Linked DNA regions of Canis lupus familiaris. The protein of the gene in region 1 interacts with the protein of each later gene in a pairwise test. Links are inferred from orthologs where the notes say so. Each region holds a gene or a part of one and is shown on either strand. Other genes may lie near its edges.

Region 1 (4,090 bases):
AATAATACAATATTAGTGCCAAATTAAAAAAAAAAACAACAACAGGGATCCCTGGGTGCCGCAGCGGTTTGGCGCCTGCCTTTGGCCCAGGGCACGATCCTGGAGACCCGGGATCGAGTTCCGCGTCAGGCTCCCTGCATGGAGCCTGCTTCTGCCTCTGCCTGTGTCTCTGCCTCTCTCTCTCTCTCTCTCTCTCTCTCTCTCTCTGTGATGACTATCATGAATAAATAAAATTAAAAAAAAAAAAAACAAGATGCGGGAATGACCAAGAAAAGTCTTTCTGAAGTGATGGCATTTGGGCAGAGACCTGAATGATCTAAAGTGGAAAGCCATGAGAAGAAGTGATGAGGGAAACAAGAAACAGAAAGGTTCAGAGGTAGGAATGAGTTTGAGGAACAGCAAGAAGGTTCTTGGTAGGATAGGAGGTTGAAAAACAAGATGCATAGAGCTTTGGATTCATTTAGCCATGGGGGGGTCAGTTGTGACTCCCTTCACTTAATTTGCTGTGTGTCTCTGGGCAAAGTACCTGACTTTTCTGAGTTTTAATTACCTTATCTATAAAATGGAGATAATAAAATAAAGGCTATGTTGAGAATGAAATGAGAATATATGGAAAACACCTAGGATGGTACTTGGCATATTACTTTATTAAACATATGTTTATTGCACACCTACTATTATTGACCATGTCCTAAGGCACTCATTCCACTGTTATCCAATAACTTTAGTCTGTTTTTCTCTGTTTTTTTTTTTGTTTTTTTTTTTTTTTAATTTGTCTTAGCAAATCTTAAAGCTGTTTTCATGCCCAGGCTAGGCATTCTCCCTGAGCTCTTTATATTAAAATCAAGGAAAGAAGTGTTAGACTGAAAAAAAAAATGATTTGGAAGTGGATGAGTAGGTATAAAAATAAGGATGTGGGATTCTGGTAATTGCAGCCTCTAATATATTCATTTGTTTTGGAAAGAAACTGAATGTGCATTTCTGTCCTCTTTCCTCATCACTGGATACTAGCTATACTCAGGCACTTCCTAGCCAGGTTTCCTGCTGACCCAAACCTGCTTGCCTTAGGAAAATCAGATAGGAGAAAAGTCTTCCATCCTTGTAAGACCATCTGTTTTTTAGACCCACAGCTGCTGCCCTTACGATTGCAACACAACTGGAATGATTTATTCATCTCCAGGTAACATTTGTGCACCAGGCTTCCAGCAAAGTACAGTATCAGCTTTCCACTTAATGAAGCATCCAACACAGGTGGTGAGCTGCACCGGAAAGGATGCTTCTGGCTTAGAAATGGCTGATGGACAGGTGAAGGTAAGATATTAGTACTGAGAGAGTAGCCAGAGGAAGAGCAGAGTGAATACTAGGCAACAAGGGAGAATTTATTGTCCAGTCGGGTCCTGATTGTGTGTCCTATATTCCTGGAATTTCAAGATAATTTAACTTGTCTTTAAGTTAAATATATTACTATTGAGTTAAGTGAGAAAATTAAAATCCAGAAAGAGGAAGGAACTTAGTTTAAGCTGCATAGCAGTTTGGCACAGTTAACACTAGAACTCAGGTATTCCAATTCCCAGTCTAGTGCTTCCCTTCACATGTTTTGTTATGCAGTAAAAAACTTTAAAACATTATCCAAATGTGAGGTGGCATTATTATTTTTTGCTTAGTATAATTCGTTGATATTATGAACAAATCAGAACTTTTTGCCCATTAATAATTGAATAACCAAGCAAATAGCTTAAGTTTTTTGAAACTCTCTTCTTATATATAAAATGAGGATGATTAACATTTGTTCTGGATTGTTTTGAGGGTTAAATAAGATTAAGTATATGAAAACTGGTAAGGTCATTTTTGATAATCAGAAGGTACTAAACAAACAAACAAAAAAAGGTACCAAACAAATGCTAATTTCTCTTCTTTTTCAGTTCAGTTAAGCCAACACTGATTAAGCATCTGCCTTGTGCCAGCTCAATTTCTAGGCTCTTTGCTTATATTATCTTAGTTAACCTTTAAGTTCCTTCCTCTCTCCACTTACTATATATTGAGGGTCTAATTGATATAATAGTACTTTCTTTCTATGACAGAGTCCTTCCATCACTAAACACAGTTGTTATAAACAAGTGATGCTTACTTTTAGAAAAATCCAGAATGTTATTGTTAACCTGCGGTGATAACTATGAACCAATGTACCTAGATCCTACTATGTAAGATTTGGCTTCTGCTTCTACAAAGTGCTCGGTTTGGAGGGCAAATCACGACTATGATGGTATTCTTTGTCATCTCAGAGAAGCTTGGTTTCTCTTTTAGAGTGTTTGATTTTAGTAAATTGCTTCCTTTTCACCTTAGGTTTTAGGCTCTTTGACAAGCCATCTGCTTCTCAAACCCAATTTCCCTTTACCACCAAGTGCTTGCAGGCAGTTTTTCAGATGGAGAACAAAAGCTTTCTCCAGTTCCTAGTGGTTTTGTAAGAGTGGGAACGCCTCAGGGAGAGATTGCGTCTGATTATTGGAATTCATTTGTGATGTGTGCCTGATTAGGCAGTATTTTACCAAGGACTCTGCTGGGCCTGGCTGAAGAGGAAATAAAATTTTGGAATGGAGGTCTGTCAACCTCCTGGGTTTTGGTTATTTCTGTCCTTGCCAGTCAGTATCTGCTAGGGCTCCAAAGAGCTTGGTTGGATTGCTGCTGCTGCTTCTACTGTTACCACTACCTGTATCTGTTGTCTAAGTTTTCCATTTGCACTTTTTTGGTTGTTTTTCCAGGTTGTTGCTCTATTCTATGATCGTTCAATATAACGCAGTTCAATAGACTGAGTAAAGTGGAGATTAAGTAATGAATAAAGTAAGATACATGGAAACCTATTAAAAGAAAAGCCTTAAAAAAATAAAAAAATAAAAGAAAAGCCTTGGTAAACCCATAGGCATTGTGGCTTCAAATCTCAGCTTTGCTTTACACTGGCTCTACAGTCTTGGATATATCATTTAATCTCTTTGAGTGATCATTTCTTTATCTCTAAAAGTGGAAATATAGATACCTACTTTGCTTAAGGTTGTGGTGAGGATTAAATGAGAACTTACAGGAGGGGATCCCTGGCGCAGCGGTTTGGCGCCTGCCTTTGGCCCAGGGCGCGATCCTGGAGACCCGGGATCAAGTCCCACGTCTGGCTCCCGGTGCATGGAGCCTGCTTCTCCCTCTGCCTGTGTCTCTGCCTCTCTCTCTGTGTGTGTGTGTGTGACTATCATAAATAAATTAAAAAAGAATTTTTTTTTTAAAGAAAAAAGAAATGGGAACCTGGGTGGCTCAGTCGGTTAAGTGTATGCCTTCAATTCAGGTCGAGATCCTGAGGTCCTGGGATCAAGCCCCACACTGGGCTCCCTGCTCAGTAGAGAGTCTGCTTCTCCCTCTGCTTCTTACCTGACTTGTGCGCGCGCGCTCTCTCTCTCTCTCTCTTGCTTACTCACTCTCTACCAAATAAGTAAATAGAAAATCTTTAAAAAACAGAATTTACAGAAAAGAATCAAGCTTTAAGTTGGTGTGCATTAAATATTCCCTCCCATTTTTCTTCCCATCTCCTTAAGGAATGTACATGGAGAAATCAGACACATATACGTGTGTTAGTTTAAAATAGCTTTGAGAAGTGGCTAGAATTTGCAACAGTCATTGGGAATTGGAAGGTAAGGTTTTGGGGTAGATACCTTCCTTGAAACCAGGCTGGGAGATACACTCTGGTAAGGTGACCTAACATAATCTTTGTGCCTTTAAAGAAGACCTTAGGAGGGAAAAAGAAAGAACCTGGTAGTGGAGGCCTTGGGATGCTGGTTTCCTCAGGGGGACCATTAAAGAGTCTCTGGTAGCTACCGATCTCTTAAAGGTAGAATAACCTATTTTGCAGTAAGCTGAGAGCAGAACCTTTAAAGCATGAGACTGCCTTTTGGGAACGGTAAGTACATAGCTTGGAAGGTTGTAGCTACCATCTCTCCTTTCCCATCCCTAAAATCTGTTAATATCATCATCATAGTGATCTTTTTGAGGATTCAAATCTGGTCATCTTAACTGGCTGTTAAAATTCTTCACTGGCTCTCAGTTGCCTCTA
Region 2 (4,243 bases), on another chromosome or scaffold:
CAAGAATAACACATGCCAGCCTTGAAGCTTTTTATCTGTAAAGGCTACAGCCTCCCAGGCCTAGGCGGCCTTTGCCCTAATTTACTCCAAAGGGGATGTTTATTTGGTTAGTAGGAAATGCTTATCAAGTGAACTTTTTGGAGACAGCTGGAGATACATGAATAAAGGTGAAACTCGCATTAAAAACCTTGTATTTAAAAAAAGGTAATTTTGAGGTTAACTTCATTTACATTGTGGACAATTACTATAATTATTGTCTTGAAATTTCCCAACAGTTAAGATCTTTTTTACCCTATCACCTCATGCCATATCCAAGTAGTACCCCTTTCCCAGCAGAATTCTTTGATAATAAATAGTAAAAGAGCCTTCGTTTTAAGGCAGCTCTCCAAAGACCAAACCAGAAAAGATGCTGAAGGAAAGGTTAAATTCAACAAAATCGTAAAAAGGGATGTATACTGCCAACACTTTCAGGACCACTCTTTGATTAAACTGAGTTTTTCAGAAAGTACCTATAAAAAGTAAAAGACCACATTTGAAGGGGAGGGAAGAATATGAAATGGTGAAAGGCCATGCTGTGAAAAAGGTACTTAGTTTATAATACCTGCAGTGTTCTCCACTTGGGGCCGTGTCCAGAGAGGCAGAAGACACTCACCTCACCAACGGGCAATGAACAGCAGCTGAAAAGTGTAGGGTGGGGTACTGGACTGGGGACTACCCTCACTCCTAAATGGGTCCCTCTACCTTCCTGGCACTCATGGAGAACACTGCTGTTACGAACAGACCGAAACCAGGAGCTTCAAATGCAGGACTTACAGAGCAAAAACTGATGGATTATGTCGAAGTCATAAAAGTACACCTGACCATACCTCATCTCAAAAGAACAAGACTTTAAAGTCTCAAATTTAGGACACATAAAACGCTGCTCAGAATAAGTCATAACAATCCGAAAACATATTTGGGTGCAGAACGTGTATTTACCTATATAAGCTCTTTCTTGTTCCCGAGTAAGTCCAGGGGGGATGACTGTAGGCATTCCTGGAATCACTGTCTTCTGTTCCATTGTATCTTGGTTCCAGCGGCTCCTCTTCCGCTTCTTACTTGGGAAGTCTAAAGGCAGAGAAAACCCATCAAATACAAATATAAACCAACAAACTAACTACCAACAGGCAGTTCACGATACTTATAATACTACACACAACCTCGGCAGACTGGGAAACTGAGAACTTGACCTAAAACGTAAATGGCAAAAAATGGAAGACATACCCAAGAAATCAGAGACACACAGCCGCCACAAAGATACCTGGCTCTGGGTCCAAAAACATATTTCATATTTATAACATATGTCAAAAAAACGTGAAGTATGTAAACAAGCTAACAAATCTTAATCCCTACAGTTTCAGATATGCAACATCAACCACAAATGTTTTAAAAACCCCAGGGGAGACAAAATATACCGAATAATCAGATGTGGTAAAGTATGCTGAGAAAACTGTTGGTTCTTCCCACCTCCAAACCCCACCAGCCACCTTTCTAAAGGGACCAGAACACAACCAAACTTACAATTTACTAAGTGAAAAAGCCCAATTCTTCAAAAAGCTCACTTTTTTCTTCAGAAGTTTAGTCAAGATAAGCATTCAGTTTTCCTGGCTAATTTAGACACTTAACATCAGAACTCCTAAATGAGGTATCAAAAGTTCAACAAAATACAAGCTATCCAACAGCAGCCAAATACTCCTCCTCCAAAACAGAAGCGTAAACTTTCTACACATCTGGTACACACAAATCAGTTCTACTTGGAAAGCCCCAACAACTAAGGGGAGACATATCAGACTTCTCTAAGATAAACGAATGGAGATTAGGAAAATATTCCTTCCTCCAAAAGTGCACCGGCTCCAACCACACCACTGAGGATTTTTCGAGCTCTTCCTTTCACTGCAGTAAAAACTTCGCACAGAGAGATAAATTACTCTCGCTTTCCTACCTTTTGGACTTCTCTAGAATCAGAAAGGTGCTCCACGTCATCAATTGACCCTTTCACGCCCTCCCGACACGCACATCCCTCAACCCGTCCACCAATTCAACCCGCTCGACACCCCTCTCCTGTACCAAGCTGTAGAGAGCAACACAGAGCCCCCCCACCCCATTTCCATTTATTATCGGGCCACAAAGCCCGGCAGCCATACTGCGCCTGCGCACAACACCCTCCGCGCTCCACCCCCCCACCCCTTCCAGTGCGCGTGCGCACTCGGGGCCCGAGAACCGGGCCGCGCGCCCCTTGGCGCCTCCGCCCGGGGCCTCCCCGTGCGCGCGCGCGCCCCTGCCGCGTGCAGCCGCCGTCGCCGCCGCCGCGCGCCCCTCAGGCGGCCGGGCCCGTCCGCGCGACGCCTCTCGCGCTCTCTCGGCCCGACTCACCTCCTCCGCCGCCGGCCGGGCCCGGCTGCTGGTCCTGATGGGGTGGCGGCGGCTGCGGCGGCGACACGCGCTGGTAGAGCGGCGGCGGAGGGGGAGGCTGCGGCGGCGGGTACGAGGAGCCCGGGGAGGGCGGCGGCGGCGGCGGCTGCTGGGGAGGCGGGGGCGGCGGCGGTGGCGGCGGCGGCAGCGCCGCGAAGGGGAAGGCCGCGGTCAGGGCTCCCACCGAGCCCACGGGCGGGGGCGGCGGCTGCCCGGGCACCAGCAGCCCCGCCCCAGGCCCGGGAGCAGGCGGTGGCCCCGGCTCGAAGCCCCCTTTGGGCCCGGAAACGGGGGGGAGGCCGGGGGGGCCCAGCTTACCCAGCGGCGTGGCGTTCGCTCCGGTCGCCATGGCGCCCCCGGGGACCGGCACCGGCGGCTCCTTTTAGGCGGTGGTGGCGGCGGCGGCTTCTTCGCGAACCTTCCGGGGGGAGGGGACCCGACTGCGCTGCCGCGGAGCGCGCGGAGCCCGTCCTCTCACGCGGCGGGCGGCGGCGGCGGCGGCGCGAGACGCACAAAGAGGGAGGAGAGAGGGCGCCGCGGGGGCGGTCCGGGGGCGACGGGTCCGAGTCCTGGATTGGGCCGAGCCCAGGCAAGGGGTCGGAATCGGCGGCCTCCGATTGGCGGAGCCTTAGCCCCTCTCGATGCACGCTGGGATTGGCCGGACCGTTAGGCCGGGGGGAAGAAATGGCGGCCGAGCCTGGCGAGCTGGGAGGTGTCGCAGCGCGCACTTCATTTGTTACTGCGCGAACTGAGCTCGGAGTCCAGAAAGGAGGGGAATGGGGCGGGGCAAGCTCTGTGACGTAGGGGGCAGGGTCTTTCTCATTGGTTGAAGTTGATTGGGTCAATGCTCGGTTGCGTCGTAGTGTCATGGGATTGGCTGTCGCTTGTCCGGTTCTTTTTCTACTCCTCCCCCGGGGAGCAGTTTCTCTGGGATTAAGCGAGAGGTCGCGGCGGTACCCGGCAGAACGAGATTTACGGCCGGGGAGGAGTGGAGAGGAGAGCGCATGCGTAGATGGGGCAAGGCTGCCTCTCCGACCTTCGCTTCATGGTCGACTCCTTGGTCCGGCGCGGAAGCCCTTAGTGACGTTAAGTCTCGATTCCCATAGTAACCCGGAACCGAGGGACGGGGGAGGGGCTGGCGCGCGACCGTAAACCGGAACCGTTGACGCGCCGCAGGTAAAAAGGGACTTCCTGTTTTCTTAAAAAAAAACAAAAAACAAAACAAAAAAAACAACTATAAAATAGTCTATTTGAAGGATCAAAGCGATACTGAGCCTATGGAAGAACACATCATCTTAGGCAGAAAACAATAATAATTCGATTTCAAAATTAATTTGCACAACAAAAAAAAAACCAAAACAAAAAAAAAAACAAAATTAATTTGCAAATACATTGTATTTCCATAGAATCAACTAGGTTGGGGGTTGATTACATCATCTTAAAGTCATATAATTATGAGAATAGTGGGGAAACCTGTAAACGAGGTTGAGGAGGAACTCGCTTTTCGGAATAGTGTGCAAGACACTGTAATGAAACAATGTGATTTGTTGAAGGAAAGACAGATGAGCGCGACAGAATAGACCAGAAATAGATTCCCCATGTGTAGATTCAGTAAAGATTCAGCTAACAAATGGTATAGGATCTTAAACAATAAAACAGACCTAAAATAACAATATAGGAGACCAACAGGGTTATCTAGAGGTGGAGACTTAAGGAAAACAAGAAACTCAGACTAGTAAATATATACTTGATCACTAAAGAAATTAGAACTGTAGGATAAAAGCCAACAGAT
Region 3 (4,053 bases), on another chromosome or scaffold:
CCTCCAGGCTTAAGGCCTAAGAAAGAGGCTTCTCAGAAGCTCAGCCTGATGCCCTGGCTGTCTGTCTTTTCAAGTTGGCAGCCCTGGTGAGAGGAGAACTAGATCAGGTGACAGCCAAGGGCTCCGCCCCCTCCCAGGCAGGGGCTCTGATGGAGACCGAACAGCAAAGCCAACTTCCCTCCCGCTCAGACTGTTCCATCAGGACCCACTCGGTCACCCCTTCAGTAAAGGGAGGCAGTGCTAGTCAGAATGCTCAGAGCTGTGATAGGCTGAAAAGAGCTCCCCAAAAGTTCTCCAAGTCCTAATCCCTGGAACCGTGAACATCCCCATATGGTAAAAATAAAAAAGAGGAAAAAAAAAAAAAAAAAAAACGTTTTGTAGATGTGATAAAGGATCCTGAGATGGGAGGGCTAACCTGAATTATCTGGAGAAGCCCTAAGAGCAGTCACTCTTACAGTAAAAAGGCAGAAGGAGATCTGACGCAGACAGCTCGGCAATGGGACCGGGCGGGCAGAGATCGGAGTGAGTGATGCCACCACGAGCCAAGCAATGCCAGCCGCCGCCAAGACTTAGATGAGGCAAGGAGTGGATCTCCCCTGGAACCTCCAGAGGCAGCACAGCCATGCTGACATCTGATTTCAGCCCAGTGACCCTGATTTAGGGCTTCTCGCCTCCAGAACCAGGAGAAAATAAATCTCTGTTGTTTTAAGCCAGCCAATTTGTGGTCATTTGTTCTAGCAGCCACAGAAACGAATGCGGTAACAACTAAGGCTTAATAATCTTTCACAATGTGCCAGGCATTGCAACTAAGCATTTCGCTTACATTAACTCATTACATACTGGCTCTGGATGTGAGGTTAAGCAGACACACCGTGGATCCAAATCTCAGCCTTATTGCTTGGTGTTGTGACTCTGGGCAAGTTATATAACCTTACTAAACCTCTGTTTCCAAATGCGTAAGATGGGCATGTGTGTTAGCTTTCTCACTGTGTTGCTAGGGCACAATGGTTAATAAAGGTAAAGCACTTAGGATAGTACATCATAAATATTCAATAAATGCTAGCCATTAGGAGATCTCAGGGGTTGAGCCAGTCAAAATTAGACCATCATGCTAATCTGTGGGGACATGGACAAGGCCTCCCGGACCCAGTGCAGGAAAAAAGATGCCCCTTGAAAGCAGGTCTGAATAGCAAACATGACAGTCTGAGGAGTTCACTTAAGTATTTCTTCCCTACATTGAGCAACTTAGGTCCTTAATGTTGGCCTAGATGCCAGGGACTGTGCTAATTCTGCAGCATTACCCTGCAGACTCCCCAGGCCCCACCTCCCGTGCTTAAGGAGAGGTGTGCACGTCCATCAGCCAGAATCAGGGCATACCTTGCAGCATCCACACCTGACACAGCCCTGCAGAGCCCACCGAATTTTCCCTCCTTAATGGAAAACGAGCCCCACTGCTTGGAAGTCAACCCAAGTCAAAAGCATCGGCCTATTTCCTGACTTCCCAAGGGCCCACTTTCCTGACTGTCCCAGCCGGCTGGGTGGAAAGGTAAAACCAGGGGTGTGCTTTTGGCTCTGGGTTCACAGCCAAGTTTGCAAAGAATAGAGTAAGCGAGATTTGCCCAGAGGCTGGGGAAGGGTAACCTAGACTTACTACCTGAGAAAAAGAGGGAGAAAAAAAAAATTTTTTTTTTTTTTTCATTAACTTGGCCCTTCCTGATAAAGTTTGCCCAACTCTGCCGTTCAGGTGATGTCATTCAAAGAAGCAGCGCCCCCACCGGATCGCAGGCCTGGTGTCCCCTACCTAAGAAATCCGCACGGAGAAATTAACCAAGGGAGGAGGGCCCGGCCACCCGGCCACCGGGCCACCGGGCCACCGGGCCACCCGGCCACGGCTTCCTCCTCGGCAGGGTTCCAGCCCCACGGTCTCGGCTGACCAGCTTCGGAAGCTGGAGAAGCCTCCTGCTGCCGCTGCCTTGCGCGGGCGGCCAGGCCTCTTCCCAGCGGGCTGCAGGGACAGCCACCTGCGCTCCGGGCCCTGCCCCTCCCCACTCTCCAGGGGCAGAAGGATGCGGGACCCCAGCTCCCTTCCCTACTCTCAGGCACCCACAGATTTCCGCGCTGCCGTCACCACTGACGAGCACCCAGGTCCCCAGGAGGGATCGCGTCTCCTTCTCGTTGCATCCTCCCCATCAATGAACACGCAGCAACACCCACGCTCCCGCTCCTCCTACTCCGGAGGGGGCCCGAACCCGAGCGACATCCGGAGCTGGAAGCCGCTGCACGGAGAGCGCCGGCCCCTCCGCGCCCCTTCCCAGCCCTCGGAGGACCCTAAGGCGGCCCAGCGTCCCGCACCGGGGGGGAGGGGGGGTGCCGCCTCCCCCGGGGCGCCGGGGACCTCGGGGAGCCCGCGAGCCGCACCTGGGGACGCGCCCCGCCCCGGCAGGTGGGGGCAGCGGGGAGCGCGCCGCCCGTGCGGCGGGCGCGGGGAGGCGAGCCGGGGCGAAGCCGGGGGCCGGGGGCCGGGGGCCGGGCGCGCGGGGCGCGAGGAGGCCACTTACGCGCGGGCTCTGGGGAAGCCCATGGAGAGCAGCACGTCCAGCGCCGACCCGTGCTTGATGGTGCCCGCGCGCTGCTGGCGGCTCCTGCGCGGGGTGACTTTGCTGTACAGCTCCTCTCTCGCAGCCATGCCGAGCGGCCCGGGGGCGCCGTACTGAGCCATGGCTCAGCGGCCAGCCATGCCGGGGCCGCGCGAGCCCGAGCGTCCGGGAGGGAGCCGCGGAGGGCTCGGGGGCCGGGCGCCAGGCGGCGGCGGCGGCGGCGGGAGGCGGGAGGCGGGAGGCGGGAGGCGGGAGGCGGGAGGCGGGAGGCGGCGCTCGGAGCTTCCCCGGGGCCGAGGCGGACGCTTCCTGGTGAGGCCCCCGGCTGCACGGGCCGGGCCGGCCGTCAGCTGCTCGCGCCCCCCGGGGCCCCCGCGCGGCGCCCGCAGCAGCCCTCGGCCCGCCGCCCCTTCCCTCTCCGCTCCCGGCGGTCCGGGAATTTGCAATGAGTAATTTTTGAATGGATCAAAAAGGAAAAGGAGCCCGGTGGGCCGGCCCTGCCTCGCCGTCCCGGGCCCCGCCCCTCTCTTAAAGCGACCGCGCGGCCGAGCGCGCCCCGGGGCCGGGCAGGGCGGGCGCGGCGGGGCTGCGGCGCGGAGGGTCCCCACCGCCGGGGCCGGGGAGCCGCGCCCGGGCCCCGCCTTCGCCGCCGCCCGCGCCTTCAGCCCGCGGGGCCCCCGGACGCCGCCTCCAGCCGCGCCAAGTTTCGTGTGGTTCCTGCGGTTCCAGACGGGTTAATCATGGAAATTGGGCGAACTGACGGATGGCATTAATGAACCAGAAGGCCGAGCCCAGATAAAAGGTTTTGCTTCCGAAAGACCCTGCGACCTCCGGACCGCGGTCGTGGCCGTGGGCGCCAGAGCTCGGGTCAGCGGGCCAGCGGGCCGCCCCAGAGACCTCCCAGGCTGTCCCGGGCTGGGATAGCGACTTCGGGACAAAGATAGGGAACTCTCGGGCTCTCTGGCCTGGGAGGGGGAAGGAAGGAGAGAGAGAGGGCAGGGTGGAAAAAAAAAAAAAAGAGAAGAGAAAGGGGAAGATGCAAGGAGGAAGGAGGAGGACAGGGAAAGTGGGAAGTGGAAGGAGGGGGCGGAAGAAGGAACAGAGAAAGAACACTTTCTAATTTTAAAAGGTGTTCAAAAGGGAAGGGGTTGGTTTTCGTTAGGGAGTGAGCACCCCGTCAATGAAGGATTCAAGGAAAGACTAGATCGTCTTTGCTCCGTGGTGACGTCAGTGAATTTGCATCGTAGGTTGAACAAAACTACTCCCACCCCAAAGAAGGCGGGAGTCTGAACCACACTCACCCCCCCACACCCCCCATAACCACACACCATGAACTGGGCTTAGGGGTCTTTATGCTCTTTCATTTGGAGACAAACTTAATTGTCCTCAGTCAAGGACAAGGGCTTGGTTTCATGGAAAAGAGGAAGAGTAAACCTTCGCTGCTCTTTTTCAGGTA
Region 4 (3,500 bases), on another chromosome or scaffold:
ACCTGGAGCCAGGACCTCTGGGAGGAGGGCGGTCCCACACTCAGCTCTGTGGGGCATGGGGTACCCTGCTGAGACAGTGGTCACCCGGGAGCCCGAGTTGGTGACATGGTTGCCAGTAGCCAGCCCCAACCCCGAGGTGCTCAAAGCTACTCACCGTTGCCGATCTGGCCCTGCATGAGGGAGGACGGGGGCAGGCCCGTGCCAATAGCATCACTGAGGCTGCCCTGGGAGTGCAGGCCCTGGCTGGAGCCACTCTGGGACAGTGCTCCGGGGCCCAGGTTCATGTTCTGCGTTGGCGGCTGCAGGCAACAGGGAGGTAACAGGGAGGATGGTTAACCCAGAGAATAACCACCTGAAGCCCTCCAGAGATTTGGTGGCCCGTGAGATCCACCTGTCTCATGGCCACCTGGCAAATGTCTAGAACCAACTGCTGCTCTCATACTTGATCAGACGATGGTGGATCACTAGGCCCAAGCCTTTTAGGCCAAGATAATACACCAAGCATTCTTGTGTGAACATTCAGAACTTAAATGAATTTCCAAGCTTATCAACACATCCTTAGAAGTTCAAAGATGGGTCCTCTTTACCGGGGATACAGCACCCCAGACTGCATCTACCTCAACTTACTCCACACCCTTGCCCCTCAGCTCGCCAGGGTTCTATGTCCTCATCCACACCACTCCATGCCCCAGGGCCTTCGCAGAGACTGCCCCGTGCCTTAGCACTGGCATTCCTGTCGCTCCTCTTCTGTGTGTGCCCTGCCCTGCTGCCAGCCCACCTCTGATCAGGATATAGAGGGCAACGGGATGGAGTGACCCCTGCATCTCATGTCCTCAATCCAAATCAAAGAGCACCTCCAAAGGTTTGGACCCATATGCTGCCTAACCTGGCCGAGAAAACAAAGTTCCCAGCAGGATCCACTGGTACCTCCAGGCTGAGGAGTCCCAATCTCATAGGCCAATCAAGGCTGGTGCAATGATTTTGTCAGCAAAACACATGCCGGCACTTAGAAAGTCACTTCCAAGGGACTAGGGGCAGCAGGAAGCCCTTCCCGGTGGCAGGTTTGTCCTGGAACCTCCTTGCCCATTGGTCCCGCAAGGGCCAGGCCCTCCTGAGGCCGTGCCTTCCTGTTTATTGTGGAGGAGGCAGCCGCCACTAGGTCTTGCTTTTGCGGCAATAATTTGATTTTGGGAAAAAGACTTTTAAAAAGTTAAGCAAAAAATTTAAAGAAAATTAACACTGGTGTTTACAGCCTTCACTGCACCGGGCGCTTCTGCAGTTTTGCTGAATCAGAGCAGCATATGTTCCCAGGCTACCGTTTTTCCAATCGCTCAGAAGGGCTCACGATAAAGAGCAAGAATCCTGTGTGCCACTGGCACTCCCTGCTCTCCCAAGACCCGCCTCCTGCCATTAGAGGTTTGGTTCCTTTGGGTCACCTCCCTTTGCTTAAGAAACGGGTGTCACAATTCTGACCAGTCCACTTCAGACTCTGACTGGCTTCCCACCCTCTTTCCATGCTCCTGTTACCTGGTTACTCCAGGTAACGCGCTCAGACATCTGCTCTCCGAACCAGCAGTTCGAAGCAGCGCCTGATAGCGCTGGGCTAGGACGGGGCCCCACCGTCCCCCCCTCTGCAAGCACTCACAGCGGGGAGCAGGGACTGCATGTTCTGGTTGGAGTCCGCGATCGTGGCCAGGTAGACCAGGTTCCGGTGCAGGATCTGCTGGTACCTGCGGGTGAGGGCGCACGGTGAGGCAGAGGAGCCGGAGGCCAATCCGAAGATGTCTACCGGGGACAGCCTTGCCTTGCAGCCAAGCCCCAAGGGGATGCTGAGCGCAGGCGATGCCCAGGGACAGGCCAGGCACCAGATGCTCTGTGGTCAGACAGGGCAAGGCAGGGAACGGGCCCCAGCCTGAGTCCTGAGCAGGATCCCATCTGATGACAGCATGCGGAAAGACCCCAAAACGGGGGCCAAGGGGAGGGGTCACCAGGTCTGTTCAGAGAACAGGAGGGGGTGGAGGAGAGGTCACAGGGGGGCAGAGGACAGAGGCTGAGGCAGACGCCCGAGCAGACTCCGCACAAGGCCTCCTCCATCTGACCCCGACACCAGGCTGACTCGATACGTCTGCACCCCTGGAGAGGCCGGCTCCCCGAAGCAGAGAAAACCCTCAGGCACACGGGGCTGCTGCCGCCACCGGCCCCCGGGGGCTCTGACAGGCCTGCTGCAGCCAGGCCCGGGGGCCACACGAGGTCCTAGCTGGAGGAGCGCACTGTCCCCTGTGTGTCCAGCAGCCGGCCCGCCTCCCATGCTTCCATCTCCCCGCAAACCTCCCGCTCCTTGGGCAGCGACCAGTGGGCGAGGCCATCCTCTGGGCGGGACCGCCGCTGCCGCTCGGCCACTTACTGGGTGCACTCGGCCGTCTTGCCCTTGCTCTGGTAGTCCAGGATACACTGTATCAGGTGGTGGTTCTCATCCAGCATCTGCAGAGAAGCACAGTGAGCACGGCTGGCGTCCCTCCAGCAGGTGCACAGCGCCGTCGCCGGCGTGCAGGCGTACCTCAACCCCCCCAGCAGGACCGGCCTCCCGGGGCTGTGCTGAGCGCGACCCTCCGTGCGCCACGGTCAGTCCCCCACGAACCCAGGGGCAGGTTCCGAGGTCTGTCACGTGGTGGAGGCAAACCCACGGCCCACAGGCCTCCCCGCCGTCTAGGGCCCTTGACCCCAGCGTGTGTGCCCAGCTAGGGGGCTGCGGAGTCCACGTGCGGGACGCTGGACTGGAGCCCCCCGCCTCAGGGCCACATGGCGGTGCCTCCCGGGAGACGGGCCCTGTGGAGCAACACCACGACCTCGAAGGGGGACAGCGCCCGGGATGGCCTGGGGAGACCCGAGGGGGGCGAGGGAGGGAGGTCGGGGGAGTGGGAGCAGCGGGGGGGCGGGGGAGACAGGCCCGGGGTCCGCAGGCATCCGGGGCGGCTAGGCGGGCACAGAGCCAGCGTCCTCCCCCTGGCTGCGAAGAGAAGGTTCTGGCTCTTCCTGCAGCCGCGCATGTGCCCAGCTTCCTGCTCTGGAAGGAGGGGCGGAGGGGAGCCCAAGGTGAGCGCCGCTTTCCGCGGGGGCCTTCGTTCAGAGCCTCGCGCCAAAGGAACAGCCGCGCCTTGGCCAGCGACGAACGGCGCCGGCCGCCAGGGCGCACGTCCTTGTGGGGGGCTCGGCTCCAAGGGTCACGGGCCACCGGCCGAGGGTACCCCTCGCTGCATCCTGACCTCAGGGTTCCACTCCCGCAGAGCCGGTGGCCCGGCCTGACCCCGCCAGCCACAGCCGCATCCGCTGGGCAGAGATGCTGCCCTGGCACGGGGCTGGAGGGGTTGGGGGCTGCAGGGGCCGGGGGCTGCAGGGACCGGGGGCTGCAGGGGCCGGGGGCTGCAGGGGCCGGGGGCTGGAGGGGCCGGGAGCTGCAGGGACCGGGGGCTGCAGGGGCCGGGGGCTGGAGGGGCCGGGGG
Region 5 (4,231 bases), on another chromosome or scaffold:
CATCACTGCCCATCATGGGGCCTGATGACTAGGGGCTTGTTTGACAAACAAAAGAACAAAGCACGGAAGGGCCCTGTGGTTTCACTATTCACTTCTCACACTCATGTGTTCACCAAATGTTAACTGGATTTTGAGTGAACACTTATTACCTACAGCCCAGCCAGTGGCAGCCCCTGCCCTCCTAGGGGGTCCTGTGCCTTCTCCACAGGCCTCTAGCTTAGCCCAGTGTCTTTGAAATGGAAGAGGAAAGAAGATGGTGTATTTCCCAAGGACGTTCCTCTCCTCTGCTGCCCCCGCACACATAGCCCCATTCACACCACGCAGGAACATAAAAATCGCCACATAGCACAGTGTGTGGCTAACAGTAGGTGCTCAGTAAATGCCAGCAGACCCTGTGCAGCCCTGCCCCACCCCGTGATTCCCAGGCAGACACCCTCCTCAGTGCATTCACCACTTCACCCCTCTCCAAGACCCCCAAGCCTTCCCTGACCCCATCTGCCTTCTGACTTCTGGTCTTGAGAGTCCAGGGCAGTGGGGAAGGTGGAATCAGAGGCCTCACTGTCTAGCACAGAGACCAAAAGTTCAGGTCCTCGTCACCACCGTCCTTGCCCTGTTCTCAGCTTCCCAACGGTGGCCTCCGGCTCCAGGGTGGCGTTTTGAACTCATTATTACCCCAGCTCCTGCCACTCCGTAGTGGGTGATAGATGCAGAAACACGTGGGCCCCCTTCCAGGAGCAGCAGAGCCAGGGAAACCTTGGGGCACTGGGTAGAAGCAGGAAGCTGATGCTTCCAGATGCCCCAGAGGCCCTGGGCCACACCCCAGCAGCCGGCTGCTTTGTCCAGGGCAGCCCTGACTTAGCTGCCCTGGCTGCTCGTGCCACACTCAACGTGCCAGGCCGTGACCAGGCTTTGACCCATGCGCCAGCCCAGCAGCGTCCTGAAGGGATGGACCACCTCCCCGCGCAGACAGGAGAGGGAGGGGACCAAGAAGAACTGGGCATGCGTGTGCACCCACTTCCAGGACCCTGGTACCACAGGAGCAGCCGTAGCTGGTTACCTAGGCCGGGCGCTCCACAGGTGTCACCTCATGTGGCCCTCACAGTGCCTGCTGTGCAGATGCGCCAAGTAGTGCTAGGGGTGGGGGCCAGCCCAACCAAAGCCTCTTGGCTTTCCAAGGGGTGGAGATGGCATCTGAACTCAGAGCTGTATGACTGCAAGCCACCGTAAGGGCCACGAGCCCTTACACTCTACAGGCTCCCTGGAGCAGGGGGCTAAGGATTAAAGGGTTTCAGGCAGTCGCCACACCAGGTTGCTTGGTTGCTCGCAAGGTGCCCGGCCCCTCCCCCTACCACCTGCAAGGTGGTCTGATGTAACACAAGGAGCACTGGACTGGGAGTCCAGAGGCCTGCATTCAAGTCCCAGGTCTACTACCACAACCAGTCCCCGCCCTTTGCTTATCTGGGCCTCAGTTTCCCCTCCCACGCAAGTTCCAGGGTCGTCCTGGCCCAGGGTGGCTCTGGGGCCGTTTCTGCTCCACCCATACTCTGAATCAAGGGTTCCCCTGGCCACCGCCGTGGCCCCCTAACTCATGTGCTTGCAACTTGAGGCGCCTCTCCATGTGCATCCCAACAGCACACACCTCTGTTGATCCGCGGGATGGAGAGGACGTCCCCCCCGCCCCCCCCCCCCCCCCCCCCGGGCTCCTGCACCTCCTGGGTCACTTGCGGGGCTTGGGGAGGAGGCGTGGCGCCGGGAGCTGCCCACTGCGCGGCTACTTAACAAAGACGGCGACCCGCAGCCCCGGGGCCTCTCGGTTCCCGTTCCGTCGAGGGCGCCTACACTGCGCCGTCGGGGCGACACCCTGGGGACACGGGGGCGAGCGCACCACGGACGCGGGGCCCGGAGCCCAGGCTGGGTCCCCGCGCCGGGCGTCCATGGGGCACCGCGGGGCGCGCCTCGGGCCTTGCAGGGCGTCCCCGGGGAGGACGGGGACCCCCCCTCCTCCCAGCACCCGTCGCGGCGACTCCCCGTTCCCAGGGGTCCGAACGCCCGGGACCCGCGCTGGGGGCTGAGCCCGGCGCCCGTGCCCCGACCCGCGAGCGCACAGGCGCCTCGGCGGCGAGCCCGCCCCCCGCGCCCCCCGTCCAGCTCCCCTCCCCCCGCCTCCCTCCACGACCACTGACCATAGTGGCCGCAGCCGTCGGGCCAGGTCCCGCCGCAGCGGGCAGCGATCCGGTGCGGGAGGGCGCCGCGGGAGCCACCGGCTGGCTCCGCCGTTGGGCCGGGCGGCGGGGGCCTCGAGGGCGCGGGGGCGAGCGGAGAATGCACCCGACCGCTCCGCAAACCTCAGGCTAGACCTCCACTGTGTCCCAGCGAGACGCACGCCCCGCGATTGACGTCTGAGGCGGGCAATCAGCAGCTGGGACGCAGGACGTCACAGAAAGTGGGTGGGACTCCACGCGCCTTCAGCCTATGCTTCAGGGTTTATTTGACAGGGCACCGCCCCCTTTTAAAGACACAGAAAGCTTTTAACTAGCAAAGGAGTTAGCCCGACCCAGAAAGGCAGGGCTTCATTTGTAAAGGCTGAAGGGCTTTTGACCAAAACTGCAAATTGAGGCCTCCTGAAAGATTAGTCGGCTCTCATTAATTTCTCAACAAGGCCACGTAAGTATAGTTTGCTCCAGATCAGAGGACAGGTGCTTGGGGAACACGTGCCCAATAACATCAAGTTACCTGCCTGCCCTTGTGTAGCTTCTAAATAATGTTTTACCCACTTCCAGCTCATGAATCAGTCGGTTAGCAGGCACCCAATTAATGGTTGTTGAGTGAATGAATTTCCAGGATTGTTGATGCTGTGCCTCTGGAATCCTAAGGCTGCATACGTGTGGCACAGACGTAAATCAGGTCTGGTGACTCAGCCTGCATACAAGCTCATTATTACGGAACATCAAACACAGGAATATGTATCATTCAAAGATTCATTCACCAGCCCTGCCCCCCTTCCCCAGGAGATGCTTCCAGTGGGGGAGGGAGGGTTTCTGGGGAAGGGGGTGCTCCAGTGCATTGCATGCATCAATTTACAGGTGTCAAAACTCCCAGGTCCGTGTGTTAAGCAATTGCCCATTCCCATGCTCACTGTCCTGCCCCAGGCACCAGGCTTGACTCTTGGATAAACAAACATCTGTGTCTTCCAAGTGCACATCATTTACTAGGTGGAGAATTTAGGCTTTAATCGTGGCTCGAGGAACAAGAACAACAAAGATGAGTTTTTATTGAACACTCACTGTGTACTGGGCGCTGTCCTCAACTCTCAACCTGTATCATCCTACTTAATGTTCTGACAACTAATTTACAGGGATAGGTTGCCTTATTATCATCCCTATGATCCTTGTTTTACAGATGAGGAAACTGAGGCACAGAGACATTTAAGGTACTTGCCCAAATTCGCCCACCATACAGTGGGATTCGATCCCAGGCAGCCTGACTCTGGAGCTGGTTCCAAACTCATTCTGCTGAGGAACCATGCATGTGATGATGAGGGTGTGTACCACCACGCCCCTGTTTGCTTTTGGAGGGCTCTGCTCCTTGTTTTTTTTTATAGCCAAGGGAGTCAGAGAGGTAAGAGAAGCAGCCCAGTGCTGCTCAGCGACAAAGTGGCCTAGCCAGGCTGGTTCCCCAGACTTTTGACTCCTCGTCCGGTGCTTGCTGAAAGCTGTGCTGGGCTTCACTCTGTGTGGGAATACCTGAGCCAGGTGTACTTCCACGGAGAGCGGGTGACAAGTCTTTGCTGGGAAAGGGAGGGCACAGGCTTAGCCCTGATCAAGCTCACAGCTGAGGCATTGAGGGCCTCCGGGAGGAGGACCCCGAGTGGGCTGAGGCTTCTAGGAGCCCTGTGTTGAACCATACTAGACCTCGAACCCTTGGTCCACTTTGCTCCCCTCCCCAGGCCACAGCAGCTCCAAGCTAAGCTGGTATCCCAAGTTTGGAAGGAGCGTCGGGCTGGAATTCCCAGGGAACACTGGGCTCCAGACCGGCTCTAGACTCTGCCACTCACTGCTGCATGGCCTCAGACGACTTCCAGGCCCTCTCTGGGCCTCTGATTCCCCTCTTATTGAGAAGGTTGGACAATTGGAGCAATTTAAAAAAATACTTAAAAAATATTTTTAGTAGTGTGTCTTTTAAACAAACAAACAAAAAATCTTACCCAGAATCTCCATATATGCGTAATGGA
Region 6 (4,075 bases), on another chromosome or scaffold:
GGGCAGAGGGCAGCTGAGACAAGGGAAGTGGACACACGTGAAACAGGATCCATTAGAAAGATGGCAGTGTCCTGACCAATCACATCTTAAAGCTAGTTCTGCCAACGTGGGTTGTAAAGCAGGTCTATATTCTCTGTGAACCCAAAGGTACAGACAGGAAAAGAGCCTACCACTCATTTAAAGGCATTCTCACCTCATTTCAGGTATATGGCTTTGAGGCAAGGACCACCTGGGCTCTAATTCTTATAGAGGGGGGAGCTAAGCAGGCAACATAACTAAAATCTCTAGTATCTTTCTAAATGCCACTTAATAGGGGACTATGCTTTCTTCATTTTTTTCAGGATTTTAAAAATTATTATTTTATTTAAATTCAAGTTGCCTACATATAACACACAGTGCTTATCTCATGTGTCTTTCTCCATTTTTACTCATCACGTTTTTCTTTTATCACGTTTCTTAATGGAATGCCATACTGAAGGCAAATTTGAAGTAAATGTTACAGGCTGAATAAGGAGTATTACTAGACCAGTACCAAAGTGGAACTGCAAAAGCAGCAGGCAGGACTCCTAATGCTTTAAAGAGGTATAGGAAAACAAAGGAATCTGGTTAACTCAGGCCCCAGGGAATGTGCCAGATGCTACTGACTTGCCACAGTTCTCCTGCCCCCTCAACTGCTTTCTGCCCAACTACTGGATGTCAGTGCTTATACCCATACCACAGCTATTACCCAGGGATGGTGAAAGGATGAATATGTAATCTCTTCAGAAAGTTAAACTACGTAAGAGCTGAGTTGTTCTGATAAGGTCATACTCACAGGAATGTTGCCAGCAGTAGCCCCCGCTCCAAATCTGGCACCTGCATCATACCCTCCTTCCACCAGCACTGCTGAACCAGGTGGATAGATGGGACCAACTGGATAATAAGCCATGGGGATTGTGGAACCTAAAGGTCCAACAGCCACAGATTGGGCCATGGGAAGATACAGTGAGGCGCCAGGAAATGCAGCTGACATGGTGGGGACCGTGGCAGCCCCCGGATGCACGAAGCTCGGACGATAGAGCTAGAAGAGAAGGCAACAGGTTACTTTATGACATTCCGATTTTAGATCCCTTCTACGCTCAATTCTTAATTGTCCTTGTGCAGATTACACTCTTGAGTTACACAAACTGCCTTTCCACTGCCACTCAGTACCCTCCTGCATCACTTCCTGCCATAGCTAACGTGAGGCTCAAGGAACGCAAGCTCATCTTCTTAACCTCACCCGGTGCCAAAAAAAAAAAAAAAAAAAAAACATGAAACAATCAGATGATGCAGTCTCAACCCCAACAGAAATTGCGCTGAAGTGTACAGTGTTTCAGACTATTCACGTGAGCCCTCCCTTCTCCTATTTACGGACACTGAATAGATATGCGTGGACTCAGGCTTATTAGCTAAGGACTGAAGATGTGACCCAAGAGCACTGGGTTCAAGTCTAGTAAACTGGAAGCACCTCTGAGTAGGCAGGTGGAGCATCAGTATAGGGTGGAGCCTGAGGGAGATGCAAGGTCTGAGGGTACACTGGGTTCCCAGGAGGCTGCACGGGATAGGTTGGCTGCGTTGGATATTGACCTGGAAGACAAGAAAGAAAAAAAGAAAAAAAAAGGAAAGAAAAAGAAAATGCATGTTGCCTACCACACAGAGCCACCAAAATGGGGCAGAGCATCCTGGGTAGCTGCCCTAGGGGCAGCAAGCTGGAGATGTGTAGACAGACCGCTCTGGGTGGTGGGGTGGGGGTGGGGGCTGATTTCTGGGGCCGAGAGAATATTCTCTTCGCACCCTTATCCCTACTCCTACCGGGGCAGTCCTCCCACTGGCACACCCGAGCTTCTCCATCGATGCAGGGCAGGTGTGGGGCCCCGTTCCTGCCCGTGCCCAACGGCAGGGACGCGCTGCCCCGGCTCCGGGTGGTCGCCACAGGCCTGGCTGGACCGAGCCGCGACCTCGTTGGGTCACGGAGGTTGCGGGTTATTTGCCCCGCCGCTTCCTACTCAAGGTCGCCTTCCGAATACAGCGCGCGATGGACGTGAGCCCTCGGGACCCGAGGGAGGATAACGGGAACCGTCCTGAGGCACAGCGGAGGACCGTGTGGGGCCCGACGCCGGCACAGTCCCAGGAGCCGGGGGCACTTCGGGCGGCCGCGCGAGGCACGCGGAGGGAGACCCCTCCGCCGCCCCCGGGCCCCCGGGCCCCGGGGCCCGCCCGCCGGCGCCGCACTGGTTAAGCCCGGGCGCCGGCCTCTGGTTCCGGAGCGCGAAGCCCCGCCCCCGCCGGCGCGCCATTGGCCGACCCGCATCCCTGCTCTAGCTCCCCATTTGCTCCCGCAGATGCCCATCATGACAAGCCTCCCCCCTGCACCCCCCCGCCCCTCCACCCGAGCCCGCAGCTCCAAACTGCGCCACAGAGTTTAAGGAGGAAAGGGCCGGGAAGCAGCGAGCAGCCGCAGTTCGGGGATGACGAAGGCGTCTGGCGCGGCCCCCGGGGCCGCAGCCGGCCGGGGAGGGAGGCGCAGCGCGCCCCAAGCCTCCGCTTGGCGACCCCGGGCTCCGGGCCCGCTCGCTCCAGGCTAGCACTGTCCCCCCGACGGCCCCGGCCGCCCCCTGCCCTTGCCTTTGCTGTTCATGGTGGCTGCGGGTCCGGTTCGGCTCGGCGTCGCGGACGGTTATTTTTTTCGTCCTCTTCCTGTTCGTAGTCACTTCCGTGTCACGTGACGGCCCGTCCGCCTCGCGTCACCCGACGCCCGAGCGCCGCCGCCACCGGAAGCCCCGCCCCTCCCGCGCGGCGTCCAGTAGCTGGAGGGCGGGCGCGCGTGGCCCCGCCCCCCCGGCGCGCGGCGGCCCCGCCCCTTGGGTCTCGCCCTCCCACCCCCACCCGCGTCCCACGACGGGAAGAAAACCGAATGCAGGTATTGTCTCCAAACACGGTTGTTGGCTTTTTTTTTTTTGGTTTTGCCTTTGTTTTTTCCGCCCCCCCCCCTCCTCTCTCTCTCTCTCTCTGGGGCGCTCGGGGGCAGAGCCGCTGAAGCCGCTCCCCGGAACCTGCTTCCACCTCTGCGCAGCAGCTCAAGGTGACCTCACCTGCGGAGCGCGGCGGCCCCGGCCCCGGCCCCGGCCCCTGGACTGCGCGGGCTGGCGGCGCCGTCAGTGGGTCCTGGCCGCCTTGCCCGTCCCGCCGGCAGGTGCCCGCCTGCACTTGCGTCGCTGCCCCTCTGCCCGAGGGAGGCCCCGCGCAGGGCCCGGCCTGCCGCCTCCTGTAGCCTCCCTCTCTCTCCCTTCGTCCCTACCCTCACTGTCCTTAAGGGCAGGGGTGCCACCCTCTAAGGCAGCAGTGCCCCGGGCAACCTTCATTTTAAGATACGCCGCCTCTGCGCAAGTACAGAGATGGAGCTAAACAAGACCTTTTTTTTTTTTTTTAAGATTTTTGTTTATTTGTTAACCAGAGACACAGAGACCCAGGCAGAGGGAGAAGCAGGCTCCATGCAGGGAGCCCAACGTGGGACTCGATTCCAGGACCCTGGGGTCATGCCCTGGGCCGAAGGCGGACGCCCAACCGTTGAGCCACCTGGGCTGCCCCACAAGACATTTTTAAAAAAAATATTTTATTTATTTATTTGAGAGAGAGAGAGTGCACCGGCAGAGGGATGGGCAAAGGAGAGAGAGAAGCAGACTCTCCGCCGAGCAGGGAGCCCCATGCAGGGGCTGCACATCCCAGGACCCCGGGATCATGACCTGAGCCCAATGCAGACGTTTAACCTGCTGAGACACCCAGGCGCCCCCAGCACAAGATGTTCTTTTTTTTTTCTTTTTTTTTTTTTTTTTTTTTTATTTATCCATCAGAGAGAAAGAGGCTCCATGCAGAGAGACCAACGTGGGATTCAATCCCAGGCCTCCAGGATCTCGCCCTGGGCTGAAGGAGCCATCCAGCTGCCCAGAACACAATGTTCTTTTTTTTTTTTTTAATTTTTTTTTTTAATTTTTTTTTTTTCTTTTTAAATTTATTTATTCATGATAGTCACACGGAGAGAGAGAGAGAGAGGCAG
Region 7 (3,500 bases), on another chromosome or scaffold:
TCTGACAATAAAAAGGCTGCTTATGGAATACTGTTATGTTCAACTTTACTTACAGGATGTTAAATCCTTAGAACTAAGGTATCCCCCAGAAAAAGATTAATGGAAACATCGATTGCTTTTCAGACTTGATAGTTGCTGCTTCAAAAGGTGGTTTTATACAAACACTAAATTAAAAAAAAAAATCTTTAGAACACAATGAATCGCTTTTATTTCGGTATGCATCCACATCTCAGCATTTAGTGGTCCTGAACAGAAAAGTGGAAAAACGCAGCAATTTGCCAGGAAGTCAAGCCCGCCAATTTCGGGGATCTGCTGTGCACACTGAGTTCTTTCTCGATCCCTGCTGAGGACCATGAGACGCAGCAGCACCAAAACCAAAGTATGCACCGAATCCAAGGTTCTTTTCGTTCCAGTTGTCAGATTCCAAACTAGACCCAAATGGATTGTAAGATGACCACATGAGAACCCTGTTTAAAACTTCTTCAATTGTTAAAAGCAAAAGCAATTATAGGAAAAGAAAACAATTCATTCAGAGGGATCGTGTGTGCTTACAAGTGTCTTCTGTGGCCTTTCTCCAAGTTTTACCACCAAGCACTTTGAGAGCTGGCAGGTCTGAATACCCCTGGTGACTGTTCTTTTCACTTTATCAAAACCTGAGCTAAAAAACGGCATCAGCTGATGATGACAGCAGAGGGTGGCAGGGCTGAGGACCCAATATTCATTCCCAGGCTGGTGGAGAGTGAGTAAATGTGGTTCCAAACTAAACGAGGGAAGTCAGAGACTCTTTCCAACCTTACCTGATGGCTTCTGGCCAAAGCAAGGAAGTATTGGGTTGTGATGGTGCAAAAAGGGACTTGAGGAGGAAGGAAAAAGCAGCACCCCTCGATTAAGGTGGGGGAGAAGATATGGGGAAAGCCCTGAATTCCTCACCAAAGGCCAATTTCAGAGGGGAGCAGAGGGGGTTACAATCTATGCTTCGGCCGAGGGTGGTCATGGGAAGAGAAAGGATGATGGCTTGGAGGGGGGAGGGCATCATTTAAGACTTAAAAAAGGAAACCAGGGGTGCAGCTGGAGCACCCCTGCACACCCAGCAGTAGTCCCACAGGCTGCGACCTGAAACCTTCACGCCTATTCTAGCAAGCCACCCCAAGCTGGAGGGCTGTTGCAGGGACAGAGGGGTGGGTGGAGGGAGGGAGGGAGGGAGGGAGGGAGGGAGGGAGCCAGCAGGAGGAGAAGGGGAGAAGGCAGAGACCCCAGGCCATGTAATCAGCAGCAAGGTGATTGTGTGATGTGTCTTTTCACAGTTGAGTTAGATGTGCCCCACCGGTTATGATGGGAATCAATTTAAATATACTTTCTTGATCCCAGAAGTTCAACTATGTGGACAGTGGTTACACTTGACAGGATGATTTGTTATAGCACAACTTATATATTTCAAATGGACAAAAAATTAGTATCGTTTACAGTATCTTAAGATAAATTGCCTTTGAATGGGAGCTTCCTTTCCAGTACTTTTGAGGTCTACAAGACGTATCTAGAAAATGTACTACTGTGGAAAATGACTGCTTAAATCGAATGGGGGGGGAGAGGGGGCCTGTGGTTTCTCTTTTTGATTAATTGCTGTAACACTGTCCTTCGGGTGGCTGAGGGAGTTTCATGTTTTCTTTAGACATCATTAGGCGCCGGAGCTCTTGCAGGACAACTTTGATGCTATATGAATTCTGCCATTTTGCTAGCACGGATATGGCTCTTGGGTCCACCTACAGAAAGGCAAACAAAAAAACTGTCAGGCTCTCCAACAAATGAATCACTATATGCTGGAGTAAAACTGCAGATAGGAGTAAAGTGCATTTCTCAAGTGGAACATGCCCATCACACCACCATATCTGACATGTAGAATTACCTGCATGACTCCCTCCCTCTGGGCAGTCTGTTTTTTCCTGTTTGTGTCCGAACCCTCACTGTTTAGGAGAAGGAAACTATGGATATGTAAAGCTACCTTCAGAGAAATGGCCCTGACACTTAGCAAGACTCCACCCAGCTGGCTCTAGAACAGTGACCTGCTCTCCTGGATGCACTGGCTGCTGCCTCTGCTCAAGGCTGTCCTTTCTTGGCTCTACACCCAGGTGGTAGATGATAACAATGTTCAGTGCAGTAAGGAGCAAAGGCAACTGGTGGCCCAAATCCACACTCTGGTGACAAGGCCCTGCCTCTGAGTCACATTCTCTCATGTTAGTACCGTAATTCCCAAAAGAAATTTCCCAAAGTGTGAGTTGAGTTTTGGGTTCAGGACTTTGGTGGAGCTCAGATACAACATTAAACACTGAACACACAGCAACAAGCCCATATCTTTTCGCTTTTCTTTCAAGTCTTCTGAGTGTCTCAAAACAAAGGCTTAACTCACATAATGCTAACACGTAAAACCCTTCAACACTTGCTGATCTCCCCTTTGAGCAGGTCTCAAAGGCTCAAAGCCTTTGGCAAGAAACATGGGGCATTTATTAATGTCACTTTGATTCTGTAGTATTTACTGTTGCCATTACTGCCTTCTATGACAAGAGAGGCTGGTTTTCCATTTATGGTAGTAAAAATGAATGTGAAAAAGCAAGCCATTAAAGGGGAAAAAAATAGCATGTCCTGTAAATAAGGCTCAGGAAGTACAATTATGACCCCGGATAGGACTTTGCAGCTCCAAGCCTCAGGCTCCTCATCTTTACCTCATGAGGGTGTATCATGAAGACAGAATGAGCTCCTATCTCAAAGCAAGCAGCACAGTGTTGGCCCAGAGTAAGTGTCACACGAATGATGATTTAAACACAGCTGAGGAATAGGCCCTTACACCAAGTCTGCATATGTTCATACTGCAATATATTTCATCATCAAATCACCAAGATCATCAAGATTATCAAATCACCAATATAGAATTAGGGCCACAGTGCTCCTGGTGTTTGAGTACAAAAAGCATCTCTCAACCCAAAGGAACAATATGGGCAGGAAAAACAACTTACCACTCCATTAGAACTATTAACTCCATTCATATTAATTTTTGTTACAAATCTTACAAAGGGGGGTGCTTCTGGGTATTTAGGTCCACATTCTATTTTAAGGCTGTATATTCGGTTTTCATAAATTGTCTGGAAAAAAAAGGTACAGAGATGTCAGGCAATTACACACCATGAACTCAAAAAGGCAGATCTTTTGAAACCCCATTTATTCCTGCCTGCAGAACTGGTGTATCTACTTCCTATATTTATACATAGTCTACTTGTTATTTGTTAAATTAGTAGTAACTTGTCCCCACACTAGTGTATATCAATTCTGGTCTTGGGGGAATAAAAAGGCAGAAAATTTAAAATAGTATCACTGAAGTTTCAAGTTAGTGTTATTTAAATCCAATCAGATGGACTTGTTTTTATATTAATTTCTCTACTTTGCAGACCTGTCCTGTGCTCTGGGCAATGGTGTGTAATAGGCATTCTTTACTCTGGAAAGCCACATTA

The links.
Region 2: the proteins of FAM168A (region 1) and SF1 interact in binary tests that used the Homo sapiens proteins (3 or more experiments, as listed by UniProt). The two-hybrid records come from large-scale screens. The link is inferred for Canis lupus familiaris from reciprocal best matches to the Homo sapiens genes FAM168A and SF1.
Region 3: the proteins of FAM168A (region 1) and UBASH3B interact in binary tests that used the Homo sapiens proteins (3 or more experiments, as listed by UniProt). The two-hybrid records come from large-scale screens. The link is inferred for Canis lupus familiaris from reciprocal best matches to the Homo sapiens genes FAM168A and UBASH3B.
Region 4: the proteins of FAM168A (region 1) and SS18L1 interact in binary tests that used the Homo sapiens proteins (3 or more experiments, as listed by UniProt). The two-hybrid records come from large-scale screens. The link is inferred for Canis lupus familiaris from reciprocal best matches to the Homo sapiens genes FAM168A and SS18L1.
Region 5: the proteins of FAM168A (region 1) and OTUB2 interact in binary tests that used the Homo sapiens proteins (3 or more experiments, as listed by UniProt). The two-hybrid records come from large-scale screens. The link is inferred for Canis lupus familiaris from reciprocal best matches to the Homo sapiens genes FAM168A and OTUB2.
Region 6: the proteins of FAM168A (region 1) and DAZAP2 interact in binary tests that used the Homo sapiens proteins (3 or more experiments, as listed by UniProt). The two-hybrid records come from large-scale screens. The link is inferred for Canis lupus familiaris from reciprocal best matches to the Homo sapiens genes FAM168A and DAZAP2.
Region 7: the proteins of FAM168A (region 1) and UBE2V1 interact in binary tests that used the Homo sapiens proteins (3 or more experiments, as listed by UniProt). The two-hybrid records come from large-scale screens. The link is inferred for Canis lupus familiaris from reciprocal best matches to the Homo sapiens genes FAM168A and UBE2V1.

The regions. Positions count from the first base shown.
Region 1 is NC_049242.1:24,822,185-24,826,274, forward strand, and holds the start of FAM168A (protein FAM168A), read left to right. Parts: upstream 1-1,290; coding exon 1,291-1,311; intron 1,312-4,090.
Region 2 is NC_049239.1:52,884,969-52,889,211, reverse strand, and holds the start of SF1 (splicing factor 1), read right to left. Parts: upstream 2,801-4,243; coding exon 2,413-2,800; intron 1,108-2,412; coding exon 979-1,107; intron 1-978. UniProt on the Homo sapiens protein: Necessary for the ATP-dependent first step of spliceosome assembly. Binds to the intron branch point sequence (BPS) 5'-UACUAAC-3' of the pre-mRNA. May act as transcription repressor.
Region 3 is NC_049226.1:11,663,956-11,668,008, forward strand, and holds the start of UBASH3B (ubiquitin-associated and SH3 domain-containing protein B), read right to left. Parts: upstream 2,801-4,053; 5' UTR 2,720-2,800; coding exon 2,559-2,719; intron 1-2,558. UniProt on the Homo sapiens protein: Interferes with CBL-mediated down-regulation and degradation of receptor-type tyrosine kinases. Promotes accumulation of activated target receptors, such as T-cell receptors and EGFR, on the cell surface.
Region 4 is NC_049245.1:47,030,026-47,033,525, reverse strand, and holds part of SS18L1 (calcium-responsive transactivator), read right to left. Parts: intron 2,482-3,500; coding exon 2,405-2,481; intron 1,731-2,404; coding exon 1,646-1,730; intron 300-1,645; coding exon 155-299; intron 1-154. UniProt on the Homo sapiens protein: Transcriptional activator which is required for calcium-dependent dendritic growth and branching in cortical neurons. Recruits CREB-binding protein (CREBBP) to nuclear bodies.
Region 5 is NC_049229.1:63,423,457-63,427,687, reverse strand, and holds the start of OTUB2 (ubiquitin thioesterase OTUB2), read right to left. Parts: upstream 2,801-4,231; 5' UTR 2,786-2,800; coding exon 2,775-2,785; intron 2,352-2,774; exon of another isoform or gene 2,187-2,351; coding exon of another isoform or gene 2,184-2,186; intron 1-2,183. UniProt on the Homo sapiens protein: Hydrolase that can remove conjugated ubiquitin from proteins in vitro and may therefore play an important regulatory role at the level of protein turnover by preventing degradation.
Region 6 is NC_049248.1:43,029,695-43,033,769, reverse strand, and holds the start of DAZAP2 (DAZ-associated protein 2), read right to left. Parts: upstream 2,801-4,075; 5' UTR 2,660-2,800; coding exon 2,647-2,659; intron 1,609-2,646; coding exon 1,490-1,608; intron 1,061-1,489; coding exon 892-1,060; coding exon of another isoform or gene 815-891; intron 1-814. UniProt on the Homo sapiens protein: In unstressed cells, promotes SIAH1-mediated polyubiquitination and degradation of the serine/threonine-protein kinase HIPK2, probably by acting as a loading factor that potentiates complex formation between HIPK2 and ubiquitin ligase SIAH1.
Region 7 is NC_049245.1:37,194,639-37,198,138, forward strand, and holds part of UBE2V1 (ubiquitin-conjugating enzyme E2 variant 1), read right to left. Parts: intron 3,135-3,500; coding exon 3,009-3,134; intron 1,761-3,008; coding exon 1,614-1,760; 3' UTR 1-1,613. UniProt on the Homo sapiens protein: Has no ubiquitin ligase activity on its own. The UBE2V1-UBE2N heterodimer catalyzes the synthesis of non-canonical poly-ubiquitin chains that are linked through Lys-63.